2 linked regions of the Coturnix japonica genome follow. Each later gene encodes a partner of the first gene's protein in a complex. Links are inferred from orthologs where the notes say so. Each region holds a gene or a part of one and is shown on either strand. Other genes may lie near its edges.

The links.
Region 2: TENT4B (region 1) and ZCCHC7 share a complex: the UniProt entries of both Homo sapiens proteins name them as parts of the nucleolar TRAMP-like complex. The link is inferred for Coturnix japonica from reciprocal best matches to the Homo sapiens genes TENT4B and ZCCHC7.

Annotation. Positions count from the first base shown.
Region 1 is NC_029526.1:5,539,051-5,549,301, forward strand, and holds the start of TENT4B (terminal nucleotidyltransferase 4B), read right to left. Parts: upstream 5,228-10,251; 5' UTR 5,073-5,227; coding exon 4,513-5,072; intron 1-4,512. UniProt on the Homo sapiens protein: Terminal nucleotidyltransferase that catalyzes preferentially the transfer of ATP and GTP on RNA 3' poly(A) tail creating a heterogeneous 3' poly(A) tail leading to mRNAs stabilization by protecting mRNAs from active deadenylation.
Region 2 is NC_029547.1:66,860,599-66,871,216, forward strand, and holds the start of ZCCHC7 (zinc finger CCHC domain-containing protein 7), read right to left. Parts: upstream 5,569-10,618; 5' UTR 5,472-5,568; intron 5,442-5,471; exon of another isoform or gene 5,072-5,441; intron 3,833-5,071; 5' UTR 3,727-3,832; intron 1,961-3,726; 5' UTR 1,944-1,960; coding exon 1,259-1,943; intron 1-1,258.

The sequences.
Region 1 (10,251 bases):
GGAGCAGATAGAACTTCTGTGCATATGTACACGGTGAATTCAAGTGCAACCCATGTTTTGATACACATCTTCATGAGGTCCATAACACGTGCAACTACTCCAAGGATACATTAAGAAGCGTGCACACACCTCACTGCTGTTTCACCAGCACTTCAGAACAACAAGCATTGGTTTATTTATGTGAAGTTGTGTAGGCGCCAAGCTAGTGCAAGCAGACCAAGTATCACCCATGCGTTCGTTTCAAACACTGAAGAGTACACGATGAAAAGCAGCACAGCAAATGAGGATATCATTACACCTGCCCAGGTTGGGCACTGAGCCACACAAGTCAGCAGTACAGGTACACCAATTTGCTGTGCTCATGATACACTCAGCTGCTGTGCCCATGCTCCAGCCCACATGGCAATGCTGCTGCTGTGGCTGACAGCACACACAAGTGAGAGCTGTGAGACGTGGGGCTCAGGCTGCCCACTGCCCTGCTGCAGCCACACACTCACTGCTCAGCTCAGGCTCAGCACAGCGCACACACCTGCATGCTGAACTTCTGCCATAGAAGTCAATAAGAGGCCCAAAGAGCTGACAATGCCACATGAAAATAACAGATGAGAACTTCTCCAGCAAGCACATGCAGCTTTAAGCCACTTCTTCCTGAAGTATTATGGTTCTATTTCACAGCATCCCCTCCTCCAGCCTGACACACAGGGAAACCCTGCACTGTGCCAGCCTGCTGCACCTCCATTGGGCCTGGGAGACTGTTCTCACTGTGCTTTCAGTACTCCAAAACACTCAGTCTTCAACTTAACCCAGCCTCTCCCTCACTACTACACATAACATTTTCCTTCCTAAACTCACACATTAGCCAAGTTCTTCCTATTTGACTGTATGTTCTGGTAAAACTTATCCAGTTCCCTACAAAGTCCCCAAACCCACATCCCCGGAGCTGCTCGTGAGCTCTTCCCTTCAGTGCAAGCATCAGAGAAACAGGAGGGGACAGGCCACAATGAGCTGTGTGGCTTTCACTGGCTTTTTTTGGTTTTGTTGTTTCATATAAAGCTTCTGGCTTATGCAGTTCTTTTACCCTGGCTCAGCCTTAGCTCAGACAGAGCTGTAGGACACATTTTAGTTCCCCGGATCTTTTTGTGTCCTTACAGCTATGACACAGTGCTGTCAGCATTCACTGCTGTCCTTGGAGGGGAGGGAACAACTCAGAATCCCCCTAGGCCCCAAACCACGTACCCATCTACACCTTCTACCTTTAGTGCTAGGAGTACCACATCCAGGTAAATTCAATCATGGTTTTAAAGGGACATATTACATCCAGCAACATCATCCAGGTCCTGCACAACTTTAGGTTCATTTTCTGTGCTATCGGCTCTTTGGAGCACCACTGCCCGCTGACAACGGCAGCAGAGGACACAAGACAGGCACCCAAGTCTGACAGCACAAAGCAACTCAGGCAGCACCAAACACGTGCTTTCCAGTGCTGCTTCCCATGCCACAAAGCTGAGAGTGCCAGCACAAAGCAAAGAGGAGTATGAGTAACACAGCATCTACATTATCAACAGAACTGGAGGTCTGAACACTTCTGTAAGGAACAGCATTAAAGATATGCCAGAATAAGATGTCCACGCGTTGAACGCAGCCAGTATTTCTGCATCAATGAATGCTCACAAATACTGTGCACGGTCTGTAAGATAAATGTCCTGATGTGAAATCCATGCAGTGGTGGGTTATGGCTGTTACTCGGTTACCACCTCACACACACTGCGTGAACTGAGGAAATGTTGTTTCTCAATAAAAATGAAAACAACTGAAAAGAAACACCTCAAACATTGATCTAAAGCTTTAGGCAGCTCTAAAGCTTTAGGCAGCTCAGTAGCGAGACTTACATGATGTCACATGTTTACATAAACTGCCCAACAAGCTAGGAACTACCAGGCAGTTTTTCCAGGCAGCTCATCAGTAGAACTGTGCGCTCAGAGGCAATGGACCCTCAAGTGACATCCTTGCACTGGAAACAGGAATTCTGTCTGCTCCCAGTGGTGTATGTGAGCAAGTCAGGCCCTGTCCTTTTGAAAACGGGACTGCTCAACAACATGGGGGCAGCCAACAGACTCAACATTTAAAGTGATCGACCTAAAAAAGAAATAAATAAGGGAAGGTATTCAAGGGAGAGTGGCTAAGCCTTAATTACTTGTAACATTTACACGGAAACAAGTACAGAGGGGAGAAAGGATACTTTGAACACCAGCATAAGGCTTGCAATACAACTACCATGTATTCCTTTACCCAGTAACTGCTAGGAAGAACCAACACACATTCCAGAACCAGTACTGGAAATGTGTAATCTGAGATAGATTAGCAACAGCCTCGTTTTCTGGGTTACAGAGCTCTCTGCCCACCAGTGCCATGCAGTGCTCTAGGACATGGGGCAGAAGCCCACCAGCACCTGTTGGCAAGGAACACACAGCAGCAGCTCAGCACACAGCTGGGCAGTAACACGGAGCTCCACCATGCCCCACTTCAGCATCTCATAAATGCACGCCACAAACCTGACAGCCCAGCACACACCAACGTATCTCAGCACTTTTTGACACTAAAAGAAAAAATAAGTCTACACTGTGCAACCAACTTCAAGCATGAAAGCGATTCAACTGAGATTCTCCTACTGCAACTGTCACCACCTCCAACACTTGGGTCCACTTATTACCTTGTGGCTCCTGATGAAGCTCAGCCCCTTTTTCTACTCCATCTCTTCAACGCAGAGAAAAGGTTTATAGATTTACAAGAAAGAAGAGCTTCTAAAAGTGATCCTCAACTACCAAGTAAATAAATGACAAGCTGGAAGGTAAACAGAGTCCAAAAACTAACTTTAAAAAGTTGGATTTAGTATGCTTGGAACGTGCTACTTGTAAGTCTTGTGAAGGACATTGTGGAGGCTCCAGCACAAAGAGTGACCATAGAACTCAGAACAGCACAATTCTGCAACGTCACTTTACAAACTACAGTAACCCCAGCAGTAAAGGTAACAGAGTGGCTGGCAAGAAAATAGGGAGCCTGGGGCTGTAAGAGTTTGTTTTCCAAAGCAACCAACAACTTTGAATATTTGTTCTGAAGCTTCTTACAGAAGAATGGTTTTTGGGAGGCGGGAGGTCAGCACCTCCCAGTGGGAGGCAGCAGAAGGACCCTCAGGCACAAGCTGGGCACACCAGCAGTGACCCACTCACATCAATATTGATTTCTAAACCAAGCCCTTCCCACTCCTCCTGTCACCACACACCTTGGCCAGCTGAACCCTGGGGCGAGGCCTGATGCTTTCTAAGCATGAAGGATTGGAAAGGGCACTACAGCTGCTCACACTGCACTGCAAATCCACGCTTAACAAACACATGTCAGTGTGCTGCTGCTGGGGAGGACGGAGAAACGGGTCACAGCCAAAGGATGGACTCTGAGAGCGTGAACTTTAAAAATAAAAACTGAATCACAGAAAGCATCAATGGATTTTAACCAGGGATTCACCCATACCAAAAGTCATCCACATGTTAAATAAAGGGGTGAGGAGGGGCTTTGGACAGCTTTCGGACAGAAGATCCGTGTTTGCCTGCTGTCGATCTCTGCGGCCTCAACAACACCAAGGGATGAGACCTAGCTAACAGAAAAAACAATATGGACAAAATCCTCAGATCAGCACTTGCATTCCACAGCCAGAGATCCACAAAAACCATTAATAAACCCACACCAAAATCCATAATGCTCTATACACACACAGGTTTGTTGCTGAGGACGGGCACCAGCATATGAACGTGTCTTATCTGTCACCTCTCTGGAAAACACACTGCCCCATATAAACGCTCTCTTTTGCCACCAGCAGATCTTTAGGTCCCAGCTCCTGCTCTGTGCCCGTTCCGCACGTCGTACAGAGCGTGCCCGGGGCACAGCCCGCTGCCCTCCCGCCCGCAGCTCCGTGCTACATCCTCGCAGCGTGCCGAGCTGCACCGGCAGCCGAGCGAAGAGCGAAACGGAGGACACACACAGCCGGAACGCAAAGGCTGCGGGCGGGCACGGCCACACCGAGAGCTGTGCGGCGGTGGGAGATCCGAGCACTCCACGAGCGATCCGTGTGTAGCACGCACCACGTGCACACACGCACTGACAGCGAGACGAGCGGATCCCGTCCCCGCACCTAGGCGTGCCCGCTCCATTAACATGCACACAGACACCTCCCGGCCACTCGCGGAACGCGCCGCTTCGGCCTCGAGCGAACGCCTCCTTCCTCCCCAGTACCAGCACCTGCACTGGAGCCGCCCCTCCGGGCCTGCTGTGCAGCACGGGCCTCGTCCCCGCACGGCGGCCCGGCCCGGCCCTGCTCGGCCGCCCCGCACCGCCCCGCACCGCCCCCCGGGCCTGTGCCGCGCCCCGCCGCCCGCCCCAGGTGCCGCGGCCCGGCGCCCCCCCGGCCTCCTCCCCCCGAGGCCCCGGGCCGGGTGCAGGCCCCGCTTCCCCGGCGCTCACCCCACGACTCCCTGGCTGTAGTTCCTCTTCTTCCATGGGGTGCCGGTGTAGTGCGACTCGGCCAGGCCAGACTGGGCCCTGGCGGCCGGCCCGTCGCCCAGGGCGGGGGCCCGGCCCTGCCCGGGCGGCCCCAGCAGGAGGCTGTAGTTGAGCCCGAAGGTGCTGGCCTTGTTGTCGCGCTTCCTCTTGTTGCTGGCGGCCGCGGCGGCGGCGGCGGCGGCTGCGGGCGGCACCCCCCGAGCGGGCCGGGCCCAGGCGGCGGCCCCCGGGGGTGGCGAGGCCTGTCGGTGTCCGCGGTTGTGCTGGTTGTTGGCGCTCTCGAGCGGCAGGAAGTCGGGCTGGGGGTCGGCGCGGGGGGCGCGGTACATGCCGGGCGGGGAGGCCGGGCCGGCCCCGGCGGGGGCGCTCTGCTGCTGCTGCTCCTGCTGCTGCTGCTGCTCCTGCTGCTGCTGCTGGAAGTAGAGGTTGCGGACCCCCTGCGTGGTCTCCCAGATCTGCATCCACAGGCGGTTCGAGGGGCCGAGCTGCTCTGGCTGGAACCAGGCGATCCGGGGATCCATCAAACGGGGGACCCACCCCGGCCGCCTCCGCTCCCCGCGCCGGCCGCCGCCGCCGAGACCCTGTCAGCGGGTCCCAGCGTTAATGGCGGCTCCTATGGAAGGGCAGCTCCGCGCCTGCCTGCTCGCCGCCGTCGCTCCACAGCCCCCGCCCCTCCTGGCGAGCGCGGCGAGGCGGGGCCCGGCCGGGCCGGCGGCACACGGGCCGCGCGCAATAAAGGGGGGCGGCGGCGGCCGGGCCGGAGCTGTCGGAGCTGTCAGCGCTGGAGCTCCGCTCCGCTCCCGTCTCTCCGCCGCTCCCGGGTCTCTCCGAAGCGAGGCGGCCGCTGCTGCTCCGGGGCTCGGTCCCCGCGCTGAGGGGCGCCGGCTCCCGGCGGGCAGCAGGTGCGCGGGGCCGCCCCGGGGCAGCGGCCGCTTCGGTTCCCTCCCGCGAGGTGCGGGGTCGGTAACTGCCGCCCCGTCCCCTGCTCAGCCGTGCGCTGCCCTGCAGCTGGGTGAGCTGCTGGGGGGACCCGCCTGCGGCACCGAGGGACGGAAACGGAGCGCCCGGCTGCCATTGCTTGTACGGACAGATGGCAAAACACAGTGCACACCGTGCAGCAAACGGCAAAATGGAGTGGTACGGCTTCTAGTCAGGCTGTTTTATTTCTGTAGTGCTTTCATACTACAGCCTTAAAACGTATTCCGTATGATAACAGCTACAAAGGTTCCAGCGCTGGGTGGGACAGGATTCCTCTTCAGGCAGCAGGAGCTAATACAGTGTTTGGAACTAGAAAGGTGTGCTTCGGTTCCAAGTATTCCATGAGGTGGAAAGTTTACAACGTGTCCCAGCAGCGTTTGGTGCTGACAGCCACAGACCGACAGTGCAGCTTCACCCTGTGTCCCACATGGCCAGGAGCAGGGCTGGGGGGACACTGAGCCCTCTGCTTCTGAGGTTCTGCCTTTGTCCGACTGATCTGCACAGCCCGAGAGACTCCAACCCCAGTGAGAATCTCAGGGGCCGGACACAGCTGTTGAGGTGACAGATTTGATTAATTGCTTTGAAAATCACCTGCAGTTACCACCAACACCAAGTGGACAGTGGTGGGACTTGAGCACAGCTCAGGAACAAAGATATAAATCAGAAGGCTTCAGTTCATAAACTTCGTACTGAAACAGCACAGGAAAGGGGGAGCAACAGTAATAAAAGCTCACGTTACCATTAAGGAGATAACAGTCACAAAATATGTGGCCATGGAAAGCAGTCTGATACCACAAGCACATGAGATCAGGGTACGAGCCTGGAAAGAGAGGCAAAAAGTTGCCATGCTTGAATACAGCTGACATGACTTTTTTAGTCACGACTTTGAACTTTAACTTCTCCTTACTAAAGAGGCAATTCCTCAGAAAAAGGCTGTTTAGAAACACCACAGAGTTTTTAGCTGTCAGCCATTCCACAGTTAGATTCTTGAAGTGCCCTTTACTCTCCATCAGCAGCAGGGGGTGCGAAAAGGCCAACACCATTTCCCTTGAAGGTAAAAAAAAATACAAACCAAAAACAGCAATCACACCAGAAGGGGAAGGAAACAATTCCAGATGAGATTTTTGTTACAAGAAAAGGAGCACAAAGCCCAGAGGACATTTATCGAGTCCCAACACAGCTTCAGAAGTGGGACAGGCATTGACATGACCACTCAGGGTCTCTCCCAACGCTGGGGCTGCACCAGGACCCTCCTGTGTGCCAACAGCCATGCAGCAGCCACAACGCTTCCAACAGCACAGATCGTTGCAGCAATACCTTATTTCAGCCCCCCTGCGTTTTGATTTAAGTCCTTAATACAACAGCGAGGACGCTGGGATTTGAAAGAAAAAAGACAAACGTTTATCATGTTCTTTGTGTACAAGTCTCAAGCTGTGTTTATGTGGTCACTGAATTACGTCTGACGGAACGTTATGTCTGTGCCTCTCACAGAAACAAGGAACTTAGGAAAAAAATACTGAAACAAATGAAGTAAGAGTGATTTAAATACGTGCTGTTCTTCCGGGAAGGTACAGAAGTTAAACAGTCTGAACTGACTTGGAGAACAGACAGGAACTCCGCAGCACTCAGTGAGAGCTCCACCACACAGAGCACTTCAGCCCTTGTGGGAAACTTCAGATTCTTTCCTCTGCTGCCACTGTCCGAGTTCTCAGTTTTTGCCAATTATCTGAGTGTTACGTATCGTAAGAGCACATCCAAAGAGACTATATTTAGACTGCCTGCTCAATTCATCTGTGCCAGCAAAGAACCATTAGATTTCTTTCAATTACAATTACTATCGCCTGAATTTGAATTTGCAACAGTAAATGTAAGACTCCAAGACTAGGCAGCTCTTTCCAGTCCTCTGGGAATCCTTTTACTGAAAATTACTGATTAAGGAAACAGAACTGAAGTTTATAAGCACTTTTGGTTGGTTGGTCAATGTTACCATGCCACAAGATACGCATTTCATTTATAATACTTAAACTACAGACTGATTTTAATTTGTTCTCAGATTACAGGTCTCATTTTGTAACTTTACTGTGCTCTGATTTTTTTTTCCTTCCACATTCAAAATACACACATAGAACCAAGCCAAGTAGTACCGGTTACGAGTATTCTTCATCTACAGAGAACATCCTTACAACACTGCACAAAAAATACCCTCAACATACAGCGCAAACCTTGAGTAGTTAATAGTTAACCACAAAGTTACAGACATCTTCTGAATGCTCTGTCACAACAAATACTTAATGAAATCTTGCCACTTGTTTCTCTTCATAAAGAGTAAAAACAAGCCAGGTAGCAATGATAATTCCTTATCTATGCAGCTGTGGAGTCAATGTTTTGCAGGCTGCAGAGGCCAAAGCAGCAGCCACCACCACCCGTCCCACTGCTTCTGAGCAGGAAGAGGCCAGCAGCCCCTCTTCCTTTACTGTACTTCACACCTCAGACTAGCAGTTTTTACACTGCAGCATAGACAGATGCTTTAGGGACAAGGATAAGCAAACAAATTCATTCTAAGATACCTGCTTTGATAACAGTCTTATCTGTGTGACTACATGAACTGATGAAGATCACATATGTCTTTAGCACCTGCTTAATTAGGCTGCCCACTGGCTAATCAGGGCAGTACTTCCCACCCTCAAAGCATCTCCAAGATCTGCCTTTGTCTTTATAAGCTGTCAAGGATCTCTTTGTCTCGCCTACTCTAAAACTACTCAAATAAATCAGTGCCAGAAGAGCCCATTAAACATTTAGCTTGAGCCACATCATCTTCTCTTCCACTGCCTTAATTTTCCTCAATTGTGTTAGAACAACTTTTATAGCCCAAACCTTACAGCTGAGCCTATAAATCTCTTCTGTTTTTAGGCCATGATCTGACACTTCTTTAAATCACAGACAATTTGCCTTTTCATTGTCTTCCATAGTTGTCATATTATCTTCTATCTCACCCCTTACAAGAACACGCTCTCTATGTTAACATAAAAAAAAATTACTCTTTCATATTCACTCACAAGCAATTCATTAGACACCAAGAGCAAGTTACACTATGTTAGGAGTTAAGTGGGTAATACAGTGAGATTTTCCTCATTCAACAGAGAAATGAAAGTGTGCACATCAAAATATGCAGGAAGATATTGGCTCCATTTTGCTACGGACCACAGATGAGGGCAATAGGCTGCTCACAACCATACAACACCAGCTGCCAAGAAATCACTTACAGAAGTTTCCTTAAAATCTGCAGTGAGCCAAGAAAACAACAACAAAATCCTCCTAAGAGCTACAACTTCCCCCTAAACCAATGGGAACCTACCTGAGAAGCAGCAGACAGAAAAGCCAGCCTGCCCCTTTTTTCATACCCTCAGCCCAACAGCCCCACTGAAGTGCTTCAATCTGCTCAGGTGAAACAAAGCTGAACAAGGGACTATTTCAGCTTTCATACATGAGTTTTAGTACAAACTCGCATGAAATTGTCTTTGTATGTCCTCATTACCTGCATAACAAAGTATACCAAAAGACAGAAGCAAATACTGCAAGCATTAAAACACGTCTGCAAATGATACAGTCTATACTGTGAACCTACCTTACAATAAAATAAAGGAAGATTTTCCAAGGTATCTAACTTGTTAGTGCACAGCAACCAACCAAAAGAAAATAATTGCTACTTCTGGAATAGCTTCAGATGTAAATGACAGTCTTTGCTTTCATTAGCAGTAAAAAAATGGAGTATGTCAAATTATAATAAGAAATAGGCTTTCTAGCAGAGACTTTTATCTGCAACTTTCAGATTTGTATTTTAAGAGAAAACCTTTTGTTTTCTTGTTAGTAACAACCCCTGCTCCACACACACACAATTGTTCTAACAGTCTCCAGGAAGCAGGTCCGACTGCCCTACTTGATGCAAGATGTGAAGTCCTATACTTGGAACAGAGCAGTACCAAAAATCAAGCAGGCTCCTCACTGAATGAGAGCAACTCTGCAAAGAACCTCAGGGTCACAGCGGGCAAGTTGAGAAGTCAGCAGTGCAGCCTCGCAGTGAATGAAGGCGAATGAATACTGCACAGCATTGACAGAAACAAGGCCAGCAAGTGCAGCAAATGACACTTCCCTCTCTTCAGTACTCATGAAATCACATTGGGAGTACTGTGCCCAGCTTTGGTGCCCAGCACAGGATGCACTGAGGCAGGTGACGCTGAAGGCCACCAAAGCAGCTGGAGACTGAAGGAGCCAGGTCTGTTCAGCCTGGAGAAAAGGGCAATACAATTGCTGTTTTCAGCTACAAAATGGGGAGTGTAAGGAAAGTTGGAGCCAGACACTTCTTGGTGGCATCCAAAGGAAGCCCAGTTTGCAGTATGAGGAGTTCCTATTAGGTAAGAGGCAGAGGTGGGGGAGTGTTCTCAATAAAGGCAGTCAAGCAAATGAAAGGTTTCCCCCAGAGCTGTGAGACTCCCACTCCTGGAGATGCTCAAAGCCCAGCATGACCTATCAGACCCCAAATGAAGCCTTGCCTTGAGCAGGGGGATGGACTTGGGGACCCCCAGAGAGCCTTTCAATCGTGATCACCCAGCATTTCATTTTCTAAATGAAAACATGGAAGTTCTTCTAAAATGCTTCAAACTAACATTAATGCCTTTTCTTAGGTTTAAGTTATAGTTATCCTCAGCACACAGCACATGTTAC
Region 2 (10,618 bases), on another chromosome or scaffold:
AATATTTCCAGTTTTGAAGAGTATGACAAGTTTATACAGCACAGGGAAATTTTCCCATTATCTCCTTAGAATACTGCTTGATTATTGTCAATATCTAAGAACGTGATCAGGAAACATAGTATGATGTTTGTTAATAAACATACCACACAACAGCCAATCCTTCTGCTGACGGATTGCATAAGGATCTTTAGGAACCTTCCTCAGCACATCGTCATTAGAATAGTACAAAGAATGAAGCCATAAATATTCATTTTCAAATCGCTCCCTTTAAGAATAGTCATTCTGATAAATTAATTGCATTCTGTTGCTTAAAATGTATGTAACTATGACATTTGCTTACAGTCCCAAATGTTGTTTAAGCACTTTTCTATCTTCTGTTTTTGTTTTTTTTTCTTGGGGGGGGGGGGAAGGGCCTTTACTGCTAGAATCAGCAGCTTTAGAACAGAAACCAAGGAAATACATGGAGAAAACTGAATAAAACAAATGCAGCTCCAGGCCATTTGCTTGCCCATTAGTTTTAAGGAAAAAAAAAAAATAAATAAATACCAGAAAACATAATAACCATACTCTGTGCAAAACACAGCTCTGCTGTCACAGAAGTCAACACTTGGCCCCAAGCATTTGCATCCCAATGGGTAATTACAGCAATAAATCCCACAAACCAATTCACTCTAGTCTTGAACAGAAAAGCAGAACACAGAAATATAAGAAGATGAATGGCGTTTAGCAACTTCAAGATGATTATTAGCAACTGCAGTTTAGAATAACTAGAATCACTTATAGGGGAAAAAAAAGTGACATACATTCTGGATATAATGTGGCTGTCTGGGGCAATTCATGTCACTGATTTTAAATCGTTCACCCTCAAAGTATTATATTTCTACATTTACAGTAATAAATCACGGTATTCTCTTTTGATCTCATACTATACCTGCCATTTACAACTAGGAAACATGCAGGAATGTTGAATGAACGTTTACAGCACGCATCATGCTGACATGGCTTCTGGACTTCTACCAGTAAAAATGTTGTTTTCATATCTCCTTAAAAAGTGCCTACTTTTGACACTACTGAAATAAGAACGTTACAAAGGGCTGTTTCCATCATTTGTGTCCATCATTGCACACTCTCATTTGATTTCTGTTAATCCCTTAAAAACATCAGTGCACTATATGATAGCTTCTTAAAATACCAGTATTGCTGCAGACAAATCAATTCACATACAGAAGAATAAACAAGTGTTAAATAAAGTACTAACCTTCCTCAGTGGGAGTTGCACAGCCTTCAAGGTTCAACATTATATCTTTGTCTTTGTCATCTGCACTGCATCCCAAAAGCATCCAGCTCTCAACATCATCGCTTTCAGAAATCACGCTCTCCTCGTCATCGTCTGAGCTATCATCTATTACCATCACCTCTTGGTTGCTGAGAGGTCCTGAGCTAATGGAGGTAAGTTTCCCACCAGGACCTTGCCCTGAAAACTCTGTGTCTGATCCAGCAGGATACGGAGCATCATATTCAGTGGCTTTGGAACGATTTGCTTTAGAAGATCCATGGATACGTGTTTTACCTTCAGCTAAAGAGCCTGTTGACTTTTGTGCTTTGCTATTGTAAACGCTATCTTCCTCTGGCGTATCAGACAAAACAATGATCTCAGGGTCATCAGAAATCTGACCATCAGGGTCAGGCAGTTCAACAATATTCTTGTCTTCAAGTGGTGTCACAGTTAGACCTGGACTCTGATCTGTGAATCCCACGGCATCTTCTGCCTCTTCAGACACCTCCACTGAGCCGATTTCAGACAGATTTTGGGAATAGTGGACCTGGCTGTAGAGATGAAATTCCACCTCACTGTCAATACTTGGCTCAGAGGATGAATCCTCACGGTAAAGTTCATCTTCATATGCATCACTCTCCTCAGAGTCTTCACATTCATAAAACATTCTGGAAACCAAATTGTCTGTAAGAAACACAAAAGATTCTATCAGTACACTCATGAACATACGCCTCAAAATATCTTTCAAATAACACCTTCGGTCTTCCTGAGATTTCTAAGGTTAGTTGTTAAGCTCTACATATAGCAGACAACAGAGTTTACAGCAACAAAATTAACATTGCCAACAGTGCCAGCAAAAGCTAAGCAAGGGTGCATTTTGTTTCATGTTACTTATTACTTTAACCGAAGCTGCTCTGGCTTCTGACAGCTGTGAAAGATCTCATATTCCAAAGCTTTCCTCCATCCTGGATTCAAAATCAAGGTTTCCGTGTGGATCAGGAGATTTTTGGGCTGTTCTGCGAGGAACCTGGAGTTGAACTTGATGGTCCCTGTGGGTCTCTTCCATCTGGGAATATTCTATCACTCATTCACTTTACACCTGCAGTGCCACATACAGCTCTGGGTTGCCCCACAACAGGATAATATGGGTGTATTAGAGTGAGTGTGGTGACTAAAGCGATTAAGGGCCCGGAGCATCTGTCAGATGGGGAAGAATGTGACAGCTGGGGCAGTTCAGCGTGGAAGGCTCAGTGTGTCTTGCTGATGTACATAAGAACCTGATGGAGGACTAAAGAAAATGGACCCAGATGAAAAATAAAATATAGATTTCACTTGAACATAAGAAAAAACTTTTTTTGCTGTATTGCCTAAAAAAGGCTGTGGAGGTTCAACCATTAATTAAATTCAAGATGCAATGGGACTCTGAACAAACTGCACCCAGTTACACTGCTTTGACTCAAGGCAGCTGGATTAGATCACCTCTAGAATTTCCTTCCAGCATCATTGACTCTATGGTCCTGACTAAGTCAAAGCTATTTCTGGAGTTCACTAAATACCCACGAGCCAGACAGAAAATTCAAAGGTATTCTGAAGCTACTTTGTCTACCTCACAGGCTGCATAATTTAATTTGCATGCACAAATCATGCATGGAAGAAAGAAGATACTTTCTCTGAACAGACTATCTATTTCTGTGTTAGTTCTATGGAAGCCAGCAAGATTTTCTGGGCATGAAAAACTGCCAGACATCAGTTTTATGGTTGTGAAAGTACCCTATATAGACATACAAGTATTAACACTTAGATCTGGGAGCCCTAGACGTAAATGATTTGTATGATTATGGTATTCACAGAACCCAAAAGCTCCCTCTGTGGCAGCTTTCTGTGAGCATCCTATCAGAGTTCCACCTTCATCATGATAAATTAGTCCTCACCTGCATTCCTGCCACATCAGAAGTCAAACATCAAAGTCAGAGGAAACACTTTTTTCTCCACACACAAACGAAAAAGTGAGAAACATGTAAAACATAAAGCAGGAAAACATAATGCCCATCATAGAACGGCTTGGGTTGGGAGAGACCTTAAAGATCATCTACTTCCAACCACAGTATGAGGATAAAAGCACAGCTGGCACTAATAAGGCAGATTTACTGCATCAGTCAGCAATTATAGAAAATAAATTTTAAAAAAAAAGACTTTCAGCAATGCACGAAACCAAAGAATCCACCTGAAGCATGCAGAAATGTTAGTGATACTAGAAAATATAACTTAATTCACTCTTGCTCCTGTCAGCCACTGTACGAAGTCACACCAAGTAAGAACCCCAGCCATATCTGAAAACACGCATCAAGACCAGTGGATCTGAAGTGTTAAGGGATACCCATGTAGCTTACTTACAGACATGGCATTCTGAAGATAGGATTAAAAACAAGGCAGCACTGCACCACACTTACAGTCTACTGAGTGTCAGGAGAGTCAATGGCTTGTACTTCTTTCAGGTCCTCGATGGTAGGGAACTATGAAAGGCTCTTTGTCTTGCTCAGCGTATACATCAGGCCACTGAGAAATGAGAAACACCAAACATCAGCATAGCAAAATAATGTAAAGATACCAATTTCTACCATTCACTGCTGTAGAATTCTGGCAAGAGCTGTGTCCTCCCACTTTACTCAGCATGAGAAATAGGCTTCGAGCAATAACCAAAGCAGACAAAAACACTGCCTTCAAGAAAGAGAAAAGAAGCTCAACAGAAAGATTTGCAGTTTTTCAGACTGACACAGCACCAGCAATCTCTTACTAACATCTAGACGATGAACAACAGTCTAAATCTTTTTGCTACAGCTGGAACATCCTGCTGCTACCTCAACACAGCACAGGCTTCCTCTAAAGCATCTGAGCACCTCTTTGTCAGGCCTTAAGAACTTCGAGTAAAGGGCTAATAATGTAAAAAAAAAATAAAATAAAACAAACCTAAACCCAAAGCACAGTAATCCGAGTTTCTTTTAACTGCCCTTGAACAAAACTCCAGGTGGCTATGCCTAGAAATTGCTGAGGGGTAAAGGAGGGCATTTTCTCAGGAGATTTACAAAGATTGCTTGCCAGCACTTTAGTTGAGTTCATTAAAATAAAAACATCCTTACTTGGTAAAATAACAAACAGCTGTAGTCAGAAATGAGATGTTAATGGTGACTCACAGGCAAAGAGACAGAAGGAGAATTCACCTGGTGCTTAACTTCACATACTGATAGAACTTTGAAAACAAATAAATCAATTTAACAATATATATATCTCTTATTTCACCCTATAGTGTGAGTGCAGTGTTCCCATCACAAATCACCAATGAATTCTCCATATTTCCCTTGCTTTCTGCTTGGCCTGTGCAGTAACACAAACTATTTATGACAAAGGCTGTATTGAAAATACAGCAACAAATATATCCTTGTGTGTCTTAAGGAGTAAAGGCAAAAGAAAAGCTTACAGCCAGTATCTCTGATACAGACTGGGACAACAAAAAAATGGGGAAAAAAAGGACATTTTGATGAAAATACAAAACCTGGCTAAAATCACAGTTCCAAAACCTCTCTAAAATCACAGTTCCCTACCAGAACAGAGGTTCAGCATGGCAGCAGATATCAACAGTCTGTATAGTTTTATGCAGAGCAGCTTTCTTTTCCAGTTTCCTATTTAGATGTATTTGTAATACCCAAACTGACCCCATACTCCAGACTGTTAAGGTCTGGAAAACCAAAATCGATAAAGGATTTAAATCTAAAAGCATAATAAAGTGAAATTCTTCACCTGCTAGGCCTGTTTCTGGGCCCTCCATCAGAAGCATCACAGCTCCTTTTTCATTGACATAAACCATCAAAATAATCAACTTTTAAGTAGCAAACACCCAAATGAAGATCACATCTGTGTTCTTGCGAGCCTTATGAAGGCATGAAAACACCAAATAACCACCACAGCGATTATTTAAACACAGTTATTATATGAACTCAGTGTCAGGACCGCGCCTGGGCCGGAGCACCGGGGAGGAAGGTGGGACCCTGAGAACGAGCCGGGCCCGGGGCGCTCGGACCGGCAGGAAACGGCACCAGAACCGGGACCAGAACCGGGACCGGGACCAGGACGGAACAGCGTTGGGCCGGGATGAGGGAGAAGGCAGCATAGGGGGAAGGAAGCGGCGCCGCTCACGTACTCACTGCGGGCCGAACCGGGACGCGACGAGAAGGAAGTGACGGAATCGGGCCGCCCACCGGCAGCACGTGTGTCCGGCTCCGCCCCGGCTGGGAGATAAGGGTGGGATGGCGGCTGGGGACGGGGGTGAGGGGTGGGAAGGGGTGTGTTGTGCTCCTATGCAGCCCATATACAGCTCCTATGTAGCCCCTATGCAGTTCCTATGCAGATCGTATGCAGCTCATGCAGCCCCTATGCAGATCGTATGTAGCCCCTATGCAGCTCATATGCAGCCGGTATGCAGTTCCTATGCAGCTCCTATACAGCTCATATGCAGCCCGTAAGCCGCTCCTATACAGCTCATATGCAGCCCGTAAGCCGCTCCTATACAGCTCATATGCAGCCCATATACAGCCCATATGCAGCCCATATGCAGCCCATATGCAGCCCATATGCAGCCCATATGCAGCTCCTATGCAGCCCCTATGCAGCCCCTATGCAGCTCGTATGCAGCTCCTATACAGCTCCTATGCAGCTCCTATGTAGCCCCTATGCAGCCCCTATGCAGCTTCTATGCAGCTCATATGTAGCCCCTATACAGCTCATATGCAGCCCCTATGCAGTTCCTATACAGCTCATATGCAGCTCCTATACAGCTCATATGCAGCCCCTATGCAGCTCCTATACAGCTCATATGCAGCCCCTATGCAGCTCATATGCGGCTCCTATGCAGCTCCTATGCAGCCCCTATGCAGCTCCTATGCAGCCCCCATGTAGCTCGTGTGTAGCTCCTATGCAGCCCCTATGCAGGTCTTATGCAGCTCCTATACAGCTCCTATGCAGCCCTTATGCAGCTCCTATGTAGCTCGTATGTAGCCCCTATGCAGCTCATATGCAGCCGGTATGCAGTTCCTATGCAGCCCCTATGCAGATCGTATGCAGCTCATGCAGCCCCTATGCAGCTCCTATGCAGCCCCTATGCAGCTCCTATGCAGCCCATAAGCAGCTCCTATACAGCTCATATGCAGCCCCTATACAGCTCCTATGCAACCCGTATGCAGCCCCTATACAGCTCATATGCAGCCCCTATGCAGCCCATATGCAGCTCCTATACAGCTCATATGCAGCCCCTATGCAGCTCCTATGTAGCCCCTATGCAGCTCCTATACAGCTCATATGCAGCCCCTATGCAGCTCCTATGCAGCCCATATGCAGCTCCTATACAGCTCCTATGCAGCCCCTATGCAGCTCCTATGCAGCCCCTATGCAGCCCGTATGTAGCTCCTATTCAGCCCATATGCAGCTTGTATGTAGCTCCTATGCAATTGTATGAGAGATTGCCTGAAACCAGAATGTTCAATTTCCTCATCAATTACTACTTCTGAATATGAGAACTTTGCCAAAAGTAGACATTCTGTGGGCTGAAATTCTTTGCCAGGTGGTTTTGTCTACTGTTCTGATGAACTGCGGTTAAAGGTTTTTCAATGCATCTTATTGCAGATAAATATGTAAGGGAGCTTAAACTTCAGCGTGAGGTAAAAGCTCCCTCTGTACAAGAGCATATTTCAGAAACCAAATCAGCATTATTTAGGGAAAATTCAGTGACGTCCTGGTACCTTTCTGGGCTGTGCTGGAAAGCTGGACATTCTGGCTGTTCTCATTGTGTTTTGATTTCTAATTCATATACTTATAAAGGTTGGGAAGAGCAAGACACCCAAGGGACAGCCCAGAGCTTTCACTTTCCATTTTTGTAAGCCTTTATACAGGGACTTTCCTAATACTTGTACTGCGTTTTCAACATTATTGGCAGGTAATTTCAGCCTGTATTTTGAGCCTAGTAACATTAGCACTTTCAGAAGAATGCTGATTTTTATCTGCCTCTGCTTGTTACAAAAACCCTCTCAAATGTATATGAAATTAACTGTTGTAAAACAATTGCAAAACATTGCTGTTGGTATGACCAGAGTGGTCCATTGTACAGATGTGTACAGGCTTATGTTGCTGCTGCACAGCAGATTGGGTTGGTTGCCTGCCTTAAATTAGGGGTTTATGTCTGATGCTCGCTCAGTGGCAATTTCACACATGCTCCTTAAGCAAACTGAGTTCTGCCTCATAAATGATGAACTGCCTTGCATATGGGCTCAGTCCAAACCTTTCACAACCTTTGATCACCTCCCATTTGGTATGCACTGACTTGTGCAATAGGTGCACAAGTGAGATTCAGGCTCCAACACTCACGGCCAGTAGAAGAAGGGAGCTGGCAGCCCCATTACACCTGGTTGCTGATGCTGTGAGCCCTCTGTGCTCCATGTTCTGATGGGTTTTGCTTCCCATGGGCAGAACATCCCCTTTCCCTCCACTCCCAGCACCCACAGCATTCCAAGATTCTAAAAGTAGATGGAAACATTCAGAGATGCTGCAGAGGGAAATTTGCAGCATCTCCCACTGCTTGGAGACACTTCAGGTCTCCGAGTCTTCCAGACTTGCAGAAATTCAGTTGTTATTACACCACAGGCTTTGGGCGTTTTAAAAGTGTAAAAACAAGGAGATTTCCCACGTGTAAACTGGCATTATTCAGTCCAAATGCCAGTAGGTGGCACCCAAGAATGTGCAGCTCTGTTGGTAGGCTTTGTGCAGGCCTCGCTGCTTGTTGGTGCTGTCAGCCTCTGCTCTCCCTGCAGCCACAAGGAAGCCTGCAGGACTCCTCTTCTTCCTGATGTATGGTTTCAAGTGCTGTAGGAAACAGTATGGAGAAATCCAGAATTATACGCAGCAGTGCTACTTGTTATTAGGGCGTCCATGCGTGGGTGCTGCTTTCTCTTGCCTATAGGTTCACTTCACATCATTGCTTTTACGTGGTGGGCAGGCTGAGAGTTCCATCTTTGTTGGTCCTGCTCTGGCAAAATACACACAGTTTAGGGGATGAGGAGGTCAAGGTGTGAAGGTGTGAAGGCAGAGATGCTCCAGCAGCACCTGGCTGGGCAAAGGGCCCCTCGAAGGGCTGAGGGCTGCAGAGGAGCTGGGTTTGTCCAGGGAACACCAGGGAGGGGACCAGGATGGAAAGTGAATGAGCCACTAACAAATAACCGAGGTGGCATCTGTCTCCTGTTGTCACCTCCAGTTTGTTGTGGGCTGAAATACCCTACCCTAAAGGAACATCACTTTCAGAAGACTTTGTATTGAAAAGGGGGGTAAATAGGAAGGTCGGCAGACCTACAGGAGCTGAGTGGTCCCCCCTGCTGAGTCCCACCGGGGAAACAGACCGGACCCGGCTGTGCATCCCGCATATTAACCGAGCTGCGGCCGGTCCGCACCTTCATGCTCCGAAGTTAATTAAATTCCCACCCACTACCTGGCCCGCTCCTCCTCCTCCCGGTGCTTCGCTTTGCAGCTTCAACAGAACAGCGGGAGAAGGGAGGGAGTGTTAATTACGGAGCTCCATGGAGCCAGCTCCGCGGCGCCTCACGGCTTGTTACTTACAGCTTGGGCTGCAGAGAAGGGAACGGGAGCGGAGGAAATGGGGGGAATAAGGGCTGGGGGAGAGCAGAGTGTGGTTTGTCTGCAGGGCGGTGATGAAGCAAAGCGGGCACTGAGGGATGCTGAGCGCCGACGGGGCCGCACACGGTCCGCTCCCCTTCTCCGGAGCTGCAGAGCGATGCTCAGGCTCCAAAACCCCCGTGAAGGTCCCTCAGAGAAAACATTTCCTTTCCCAAATTACCCCAGTTTTTACCACCTATCTCCAAGTCCAGGCGAATAAGAATCCTCAGCGTTTTCAGGTGAAGAAAAGTCCCTTGTCCTGTAAAGAGCCAACGCACTTGGAGTAAGGACAGACGGACCAAGACAGCAAGAAAGTTGCTGTCTTCTGTTGTCCCTGAGCATCCATCCTTTGGAAAACAGCATTTCTGCTGCCCCCTACTGCAGGGGTCATAGAATCATAGAGTCGTGGAATTACTCGGGTTGGAAAAGACCTCAAGATCATCAAGTCCAACCGCAGCCTAACCATAGTACCCTAACTCTAACAACCCTCTGCTGAATCATATCCCTGCACCACATCCAAACGGCTCTTAAATGCATCCAAGGACGGTGACTCAACCTGGGTTGAGGGGTTTCCCTTCAGACACCGCAGGTCTGCCAAAGCAAATCATTGAGAGGAATGTGAGGGGGTGCAGAGGGTGCAGGTCTGCGGTGTAAAACCGCTTTGGGCCCACCTGCAGCTTCTGGAATGGGTAGGTGCAAATTTGCTGCTCTCACAGGAGGGAAAAGACAGCTCAGAGCAGGCAGGACTCTGTTCTTGAAGCCTTGAAGCTGCTCTGCCAATGGTTAACTCCGACTTCATGATTTCCATTTTGTTTTGGCAGCTCCCAGTCACTGTTTCTGTCTCTTTCCCTTTCTCTCTCTCTTTATTTTATTTATTTATTTTTTTTTCCTGGAAAATTTCCCTTAAGGAACCACCGGTGATGACCCATGAGACAGTGTGTGAATGCTTTGCATTGTGCAGTGCTTTGACATTTGGCATTCCTATGGCGTTATCCCCCATCAACACAGAATAAGTTGTCAGAGCATGAAATTGGTATTTTTACATATTCTTAACGTACAGATGTCATCTGAAAGCCATGCACAGGCATTATGATTAAACTCTCTGTTTCATTCTCTGCCTATGAACAGATCCGTTTGGAAGATTTCTTTCCTTTTGGGGGGCTTATAGAAAAAAAAGACGTAGCCTTAAAAAGTGGCAATTCTACCTAATACCACTATCAAAAGGTGAAGGCTAAGTTTAAGGCATCGTGTGCTGAGTGCAATATAGACTCAAAAATGCAGAGCAATGGTATTCAATTTTTAGCACCTGTGTTCCTGGCATGGTAGCAAGGAGCGAACAAGTACCAGATGGAATATAATCAGTGACTCAGTTTCTTCTGCCAAATATATCAACATGTTCCAAATCAAATCTGCTCAGAGCGTACAAGTTTGTTATTCTACGTTAATTACTGTCTAAGAATGGCAGACCCTTGTGGGAGGATTAGTATGGCTAAACATAATGTACACAGAGAAAGAAGGGGAAGGGCGTGAGAAGGTATCCACGTGGGACCCCAGATCTCTTGGTTTGGTTGAGGGCGAGGAACTTTTCAAAGCTTCCTGGTTGGAGGCAGATCAGATGCCCTACCTCTGCTG